Linked DNA regions of Daphnia pulex. The protein of the gene in region 1 purifies or fractionates together with the protein of each later gene. This does not show direct contact. Links are inferred from orthologs where the notes say so. Each region holds a gene or a part of one and is shown in the gene's direction. Other genes may lie near its edges. The genes, in order: ribosome biogenesis protein WDR12 homolog and ribosome biogenesis protein BOP1 homolog.

Region 1 (4,270 bases):
AAGTTGGCAAACGGAATGAAAACTGAAATTTTAAAAAGTGAGCTTTGATTATACAAACGACGATAACTGTCTAGGGTTGTGGAAAGTGAATTTGCCCATGTAAATCGGCAAGAAAAATAAAGAAATGTTTAACGATAGTATTGCATGCCCTCGTTATTTATTTTCATGACGGGGAGAGACTCTTAAATCAACTCCGATTTGGGAGTTGACTACCGGTCTATACCGCTATGGGGGTAATTCTTTTAGTTTACACCCCTCAGGAAAACTATGCTTACAGGAAACGCTTTTTCAATGACAGCTAACAAAAGTAGGCATGATTTTATGTATAATAGTCACCTTTTCCACCCGACCCCCTTCAACTTATCTGGTATCTACCTGTCACCCTCCGCTAGTGGTCGGTAGAGGCGCTGCTTTTCAACGGAAACCGCCGTTGCCGACAATTTTGCGGGCAGCGGTCGACAGAGGCGCTACCTAGTCGCGTCTATTGGAATCAAACGACAATCAAGATTTCGAGTGAGGGATGAGAGTCCAGCTCTCATTATTACAACCTGTTACAAACCGTTAGCTCTAAAGCCTAGCGATAAATGATTTAATAATCAAAATTTCAAAAAGGCATTAAATCTCTTGCATGACATATGGCGGAACTTCCCGTCGATTAATACATTAAAATAATAAGACAACTTCAACTTTACCCAATGAATGGGTGGAATTTTTTTATTCGTTTAACAACTGGCCATTACTTGATCGAGAATTTTTTTAGTGTTCAATTCCTTGACGCCTATTGAAATTAAACTAAAACAGTAAAACTTTACACTGGTTCGTCTACTGAAATTAGACTAAGCGTCAAAATTAAGTTTGGTGCTGACTGACAAGGAAGTTAATGAACGAAGGTATTGAACAGGTTGCCGCCCAACTATAAGTGCAGTTCGCGCAAATCGTTCCATGAGTTTGGCACATAGTGTAACATTTTTTTCTCTCTGTACAGAAAATTTAAATTAAAAACAAAAACAAAAAAAAAAAAAAAAAAAATCTTCTATAAAAATTTTGATAGAGGAAATGATCGATGTAATTCAATTCTGGAATTGGGCCAGTCAGTTGAAGATATGGTGCCACGTCTCATTGGCATTGCGTCGCAAACCACCAAAAGACGCTTTGGAGCCTGGCTTATTATAGTCTTTAGACTTCAGAGGCCTAGACCGTAGACTCCTGGTAGACTCGCGTAGACTCACTAAGACGGGAACAATTTTTAGATTTTTTGCGTGTCTTTGTGTCGCTGCATGATTTAGCTTTAAAATATTGATAGAATACGAGTTATTTTATTTCTAGCCCCCTTCACAGTTCACACGTCATTTGAGTCAGATGTCGGATAAATGCAACAATTGCATGTTTATTATTCAAAAACTAGATGGCAGTCAAAAGCTTTACTTGGAGGAAGGGTAGGCGAAAAGGCTTCACTTTTTAAATTCCTATCGTTTCGGCTTTGTAAAAATATAGCAGGCTTTGATTACAGACGACTGAAAGTGCAAGAACACGTGGAGTCGCGGACCGAACATCAAAAGTGGTCTCATCCAAACCACACAATTATCGAGTGTTAAACTGTTAACAAACCTTTATTAAAAAGTAAACGTCATAAATTTCTTGCAATGGCGGCTTTAAAAAGAAGCTTGTTAAATGACGAAGGCCAGATTCAAGTGAGATTTGTAACGAAACAGGAGAAGTAAGTCTTTCTACCGAGTCCATTTGTTGCTCAAAATATTCATTCTTTTTTCTGATGACAGATATGCTCTCCCAGAAGCTCCATTTTCAATCCCTTCTGGAATAAAAGCAGACTCACTAAGTGTTTTAGTCAACAATTTGCTAAGAGGTAAATGATTTAAAATTTTCAAAATCATTAATACTAATAATTTTGTTTTTTAGAAACACACGAATCAGGATGGGATGAGGTAGATTTTGATTTTCTAGTATGCGGAGAATTTGTAAGGCTTCCACTTATTGAACATCTAAAACTGAAAGACATTAATACTGAAGTCACAGTTGAAGTAGAATACCTTGAAAGATTCCCTGCTCCAGAACCTGAAGATAGTTTGAATCATGATGACTGGGTATCTGCTTCCCACTGTTTTAAAGACTGGTATTACACTCATATCTTTAGTTGTCTTAAAATGTGTATGTACAATGCTAGTTATTTCAGGATCCTGACAGGGTGTTATGATAATACCTTGCATATATGGAAGACTGATGGTACTCATAAGTCAACTATTCCAGGGCACTGTGGCCCCATCAAAGGAGTACGATGGATTGAAGTGACTGGCTCAACTGCTACTTTTGCAAGGTATTTTTAGTTTCTTTGAATTAGTGATAATCAGCTTTAAAAAAAAAAAATTATTGTTTTTTTTTTTAGTGTTTCTCATGATCAGACAGTTATGCTGTGGAAAATGAACCTTGAAACTTATGCAATTGAATGTGTGCATATTGGAAGAGGACATGAGCGCTCCATTGAATGTGTAGATGTTGATAAGAATTCATCCTTCCTTGCTACTGGTGGTTGGGATAATATGCTTAAAATTTGGTCTGCCAGTAAGTGTAACATATTCTAATTAATGTATTCAGGTGTCTGTTTAAATTTAATGAATTCTTCTTTTTTTAAGCATCTGATTCAAATTCAACAAACGAAATTGATGATGGTGAAAAGGAAAAAGGATGCTCTACTGGTTCTGGAAAATCACTCAGACGTGTAAGTGTTTTGTATGAAGTGTCGCAACATTTTATACCTTCAGTCAAGCTAGAACAGACTAATTTCAATCATTATTTAATACAGACACCATTGATGACTTTGCCTGGCCACAAGGAAGCTATATCTTCTGTTGTTTGGACTGAAAACAATGAAATCTTTAGTTCTTCCTGGGATCACACCATCAAATTGTGGGATGCTGAATTAGGAGGATTAAAATCCGAAATTGTTGGGAACAAATCCTTCTTCTGCATTTCTCGTTCTCCATTAAACCAAACTCTTATCACTGCTTCAGCTGATCGTCATATACGTTTGTATGATGCCCGATCTCAAGGTACATCTGTTGCGCTTTATACCATTTTAATAGGCTCATTAATGATTTCCAATTTTTTTTTTTGACAGAGGGGTCAATTGTGAAAGCCACATTCACTTCACACGTTGGATGGGTATCAACGGTTTGTTGGTCTACGACACATGAAAGATTATTCGTATCCGGTGGCCATGATAACATTTTAAAGTTGTGGGATAGTAGGAGGCAAGTATTTGATAATTAATTGCGTGTTAATTCAATGAGAAATAATTTTTCTTTTCAGTCCCAAGGCTCCGTTATACGACATGACGGGACATGAAGGCAAGATCCTGTGCGCTGACTGGTCAAATCCTTCGATAATAATAAGTGGTGCAACGGATAATACGTTAAAGATCTTTAAATCTGAAGTATAAATTAAAATTGCCACCAAGTTGAGATAAACAAATTTTTGGAAACTGGAATGAATTAGTCTATTTTGGCCGTTAGTTAACTTTAAAACGAAGTATAGACATGGTGTATAGAGTAGTCAGTAGTCCAGTGACGCGTACCGCCGACAAGGCAACGTCGTACTAGCTATAATATAGCCTCGAGTAATATTTTTTTCTTCTGTATTTTTCGAATGGACTAAGTCTAGTTTTAATCCTATACATTTTTTCCTACCCATTTTTTTAAGTGATACAAAATTAATTGGATTGCATATTAACCAGTCACAGCGCTTGATACATTCTGCTTCAGCTGGATAGGTGTGCACTTCCAAGTTTCAACGACGCAATCTACTAGCTGCAAGGGGGCAAGCTTAACAACGCGGTCTGGAGAATTGTGTAGTCATAGTTTTAGGTATTAGTTTTACCAGCAGAATTCGTATTCTCAGAGTCATGAGTCGTATGTTCGAGATTTCCAGCAAAAGGTATCAGCTAACCAAGTATTTTATCGATGAGTTCAACAGGAGCTTAAAAGCGGGAACATGGTGTTCAAGCTGACAAGTATCCAAGTATAGGGAGTAAGGGTGACGGAAGAAATAAAAAAGAAATGAACGAGTAAGACACATCCAGCTGCATGAATTCCACGAGTTTCACAATATTCCAACTGAAAATCAGGATTTAGATACGCTTCAAGGTAATAATGATTGTCATGTTAAGTATTGCCGTTTATTTTACCAATCATCGTGTTCAGATACAAATTGGAATGCCTTATTTAGTGCAGTTCCGTTGAGACCAGCACTCGCCGAT
Region 2 (4,473 bases), on another chromosome or scaffold:
GTGTGTGTGTGGTTGTCTGTGTGAGAGTGTGTGTGTGTGATTAATAGAACTATTCTGACGAAAGTTACGATAGAGAAACTAATTTGCAAAAGACAAAAAAGAATAATATCTAGCACTCGGAATTAGTAAAACAATTCTTTGTAGTGCGAGCCAAATTGTTATTAGCTCCGAGCAGAAAAACAAATTGCTTTATAGCCCTTTCAAATAAAATATCACCATCATTTTGATAGATAAACAACAGATTAAAAAAAAAGTTAATAATCTCATTTTTTTTTCTCCCTCATTTTCTTATGCAGTTGTAAAAAAAATTCAATTAATAAAGAAGTTTTTCAATGTTGAAAATTTTTCTCGATTGACTAAAAAAAAGATCTTTGATATCCTCCCGATTTTTTTGCCTACCCCTCCTCACTTTTTAAAATGTACAAAAATCGTTTTCACACACACAGATAACAGAATACAAATCCCGTTTTTTTTTTCGATTCATTATTCGTCGTATCTGATTGTTTTTGGATTTCTTTATGATCCCTGGTCGACTTTTTTGTTTCGCGCACTTTTCAAATCTTCCCGCAATATTTTTGTTGGGACACGCCAAAGAGCTTCATTTTCCTTCTTTTCGTTGATGGGATTTTGTCATTCTGGGGTTTTTTCAACATGTCCTTTTATGTGTGTCGCTTGGGTTTCCCTTGACAAGAATTGTTTCGGCTTCACTGCCAAAAGATTTCATTGCCTTGTCTACGTCTTTTCAATTATTAACCCTGCCAAAAACAAAAGTTACACAACAAGTGTGATTTTCTATTATTTTGGTGGAGGAATTTGGCACCCTGAGGTAGGTCATTTATTTAAACTGAATTGATTCAAATACGGGTTATACAACACATTATTACCTACCCGATGATGAAACCCCCAAAAATAGAAATGACGTTTGATGTTGAGTTTGTTTTAGTCAGAATCCCGTAGTCAAATCGGAGAGGAGTATCGTCAACGCCAAGGGCAAAAAGGCAAATCAGCAGAAGCCACTGATGGATCAAATGGATGAAACGGGACCGGATGTCGTGGGGATGGAAAATCGTCCTAATCAAATTCTGCTTCAGTGTGAACTGTGCGATTTCCGTACCACCGATGGCAACCTAATTCATGCCCACTTGGCCGAAAACCATCACCGTTCAACAAATGGTACAATGGAAACCTGCCAAAACTGATGGACTCGCCAATACAATCTATTGGAAAGAATATATAATTTTACATCCGTTTTATTTGTAATTTTGCACAATTAACCTGAGTAGCCTTCAAGTAATCCGTTCATTTACACAGGTCGTCGTTATGGTTTAATAATGTTCCCGTTATAATTTTTATCGAATGTTTACCCCTGCCAATTTAAGTGTTGCCGATTTAAAAAAAATCACATTCGATTGTTTACATCTATGCTGCTGAAAATAAAGAGTAAAAGACATATGATATAAAGAAAAAAATATTCTTAGGTATCGATTGATTAGTTGGCATTTTTATACGCGAGAGGGATGATAAAAATAAATCTGGCAACGCTTTCTCTAGTACACACGTGCGTAAGGTGAAGATGGCGACTGCTTCGAAATCATCTAAACGTCGCCTCGAAATTGTTGAAAACAATGAAAATTCCGCTGAAGTGGTAAGTAGAAATCACCGAAATTGGATTAGGAAATGAATTACCTCTTTTTCTGTGTATTTGACATGTATTTTACATGTTTCTAGGACGACATAATTGAGGCACAAGTTTCCGACAATGCCGATGACAGCACCGACGAGGAATCTAGTGAATACTCCGGTTTAGAAGATGACGAGGAAGATGATAGTGATGACGAAGAAGATAATTCTGATTGGGAAGAAGGTAGTGATGAGGATGAAGAAGAGGGAGATGAAGTACACAATATGAGTACCAACGAGGATAGTGAGGATGACACAGCGGAGAATAAAGTGGTACCCACTGCTGTACCCATCGCACAAGATGGACCCTCTACGTCTACTGCCCAACTGCCAGCTCCTCCTGTAGAGGATGAATATGCATATGATTCTTCTGATGAGGAAGTATGTTTGTTTTAAAAATGTGCTATATTGGTTTCTGAAACAACATTTTATCTTCAGGATTTGAGAAACACTGTGGGAAACATTCCAATGAACTGGTATAATGACTATCCTCATATTGGTTATGATTTGGAAGGAAAAGCAATTCTCAAACCCAAACGAGGAGATGAAATTGACAATTTCTTGAGGAAAATGGAGAATCCAGAGTCATGGTAAACACTTTTCACAGCACTGTCCCTTTGATTGTTGACTAAATTATTTTGATATTGCAACAGGCGGACAGTTTATGATCCACAGACAGGCCAGGATGTTATCTTGAGTAATGAGGATGTGGATCTCATCAAAAATGTCATGGGTAGTAGAATACCTGATGGAAGCTATAACCCTTATGAACCATGGGTTGATTGGTTCACTAACGAAGTCATGGAAACACCTGTTACTGGTAGACCTGAACATAAAAGATCTTTTATTCCCTCAAGAGTTGAAGCTATTAAAGGTGACTGCTAGTGGATTTGTTATCAACGTGTTTCCAAGTTAGACTAATCCTTTTTTACACTTTCTAGTTGGTCGAATGGTGCACGCTATCAAGATGGGTTGGATGAAACCTCGTGTGGCTAAAGACACATCCGTTGAACGGCACAAGTATTATTTGCTTTGGAATGCCGATGACAAGTCGGAGGATGTTCGTCGTATTGAAAATCCTATCCCTGCTCCGAAACCTCGACTTCCGGGGCATGCCGAGTCCTACAATCCCCCTCCAGAGTACGCCTTTTCTGAAAGGGAAATCAATCAATGGAATCGCTTAGCCGAAACTCCGTACCAGCGCAAGTTCCCATTTATTCCCCAACGGTTTAGCTCGCTGAGAGCAGTGCCAGCTTATGACAGATTCGCTCGCGAGCGATTCGTTCGTTGCTTGGATCTTTATTTGTGCCCTCGTGCCAAGAAGATGCGTTTGACAATCCAACCGGAAGATCTTGTACCGCAATTGCCTAAGCCAAGGGATCTCCAACCGTTCCCAACGGTCTGCTCTATGATTTTCAAGGGCCACAAAGGACTTGTTCGTACTATTAGTCACGATCCTTCAGGCCAGTTCTTTATTTCTGGTTCCGATGATCAAACACTTAAGGGTAAGTTGATAAAATGATTTTTTGGTAACATTTCATCCATTTTCAATTTTTATTTCACAGTATGGGAGATTGCAACTGGCCGCTGTTTCAAGACTTTTGAAGTTAAAGGAACTGTCCGTTGCGTTTCTTGGTGCCCGAACTCGTCTATTGCTCTGGTGGCTGCTGCGGTTGATAATAACGTCTATTTAATCAACCCTGGTGTAGGAGATCGACTTGTCCAAGCCAAAACAGATGAGATTCTCAAGGAAATGCCTGCGCAAACAGATTATCTTAGTAAGCTCATTTTTATTTCTGCTCCAGTTCATTTTTAAATGTCGTACTACTTCTTTTTTCAGTTCCTCAACGAGTTCGTGCTGTTTTGACGTGGAACGAGCCTGATAAGGCTCAATGGGATAGTGGATTCCGTGTTACTCTTACTCACTTCAAGGCAGTGAAACACGTAGCCTGGCATTCAAAGGGCGACTACTTCTCGTCGGTCATGCCGGAAGGTGACAATCGATCCGTGCTGATCCATCAACTTTCTCGACGCAGATCACAGTTGCCTTTTAGCAAATCCAAGGGACTTGTGCAGTGCACTCTGTTCCATCCCCTTAGACCTTATCTATTTGTTGCGGTAATATTTTGTTTGTTAAATTTCACGTTAACTGAAGCTTAATTTGAGATTTTTTGGCAGACACAACGTCACGTTCGAGTATACAATCTTTTGAAACAAGAACTTACCAAAAAATTAATGACAGGAGCCAAATGGATTTCTTCGATTGCAGTTCATCCAGGTAAAGTTCAAACTTCCCAACAACTATTTGCAGTCTAATTTTCATCCATCTACTTGTAACAGGTGGAGACAACATCCTCGTAGGAACTCACGATCGTCGTCTTTGCTGGTTCGACTTGGATTTATCAACTAAACCTTATCAAGCTCTGCGTCATCATGGTCAAGGTATTCGTGCAGTGGCCTATCACAAACGATACCCTCTCTTCGCTTCTGGATCGGACGATTGCTCTGCCATTGTTTCACATGGAATGGTCTACAAGTAAGACATCTTGATTACTTAATTTGTTTGTTGAACTTCTCATTACTTTTATTTTTCTAAATTTATAGCGATTTGTTGAAGAACCCAACAATTGTCCCGTTGAAGAAACTGCGTGGGCATGCCAAATTTGATGATTTCGGTGTTTTCGATGTTCTCTTCCACCCTACACAACCATGGTTGTTTACCAGTGGAGCAGATGCTACGATTCGATTGTACACGTAACGCACTGAACTCCAAGTGGCACACGATTATTACAC

What was found.
Region 2: the proteins of ribosome biogenesis protein WDR12 homolog (region 1) and ribosome biogenesis protein BOP1 homolog purify together in Homo sapiens (affinity purification with western blotting; 6 studies listed by BioGRID and IntAct, with this or other methods). This does not show direct contact. The link is inferred for Daphnia pulex from reciprocal best matches to the Homo sapiens genes WDR12 and BOP1.

Annotation. Positions count from the first base shown.
Region 1 is NC_060024.1:1,155,173-1,159,442, reverse strand, and holds ribosome biogenesis protein WDR12 homolog, read left to right. Parts: upstream 1-1,154; 5' UTR 1,155-1,436; intron 1,437-1,510; 5' UTR 1,511-1,643; coding exon 1,644-1,717; intron 1,718-1,778; coding exon 1,779-1,864; intron 1,865-1,917; coding exon 1,918-2,131; intron 2,132-2,191; coding exon 2,192-2,332; intron 2,333-2,401; coding exon 2,402-2,577; intron 2,578-2,648; coding exon 2,649-2,734; intron 2,735-2,818; coding exon 2,819-3,065; intron 3,066-3,133; coding exon 3,134-3,266; intron 3,267-3,324; coding exon 3,325-3,454; 3' UTR 3,455-3,502; downstream 3,503-4,270.
Region 2 is NC_060021.1:9,844,593-9,849,065, forward strand, and holds the start of ribosome biogenesis protein BOP1 homolog, read left to right. Parts: upstream 1-1,488; 5' UTR 1,489-1,573; coding exon 1,574-1,645; intron 1,646-1,728; coding exon 1,729-2,061; intron 2,062-2,118; coding exon 2,119-2,270; intron 2,271-2,333; coding exon 2,334-2,554; intron 2,555-2,621; coding exon 2,622-3,185; intron 3,186-3,245; coding exon 3,246-3,458; intron 3,459-3,520; coding exon 3,521-3,798; intron 3,799-3,858; coding exon 3,859-3,958; intron 3,959-4,020; coding exon 4,021-4,216; intron 4,217-4,284; coding exon 4,285-4,438; 3' UTR 4,439-4,473. Other genes in the region: protein charlatan-like, read left to right, coding at 944-1,199. UniProt on the Homo sapiens protein: Component of the PeBoW complex, which is required for maturation of 28S and 5.8S ribosomal RNAs and formation of the 60S ribosome.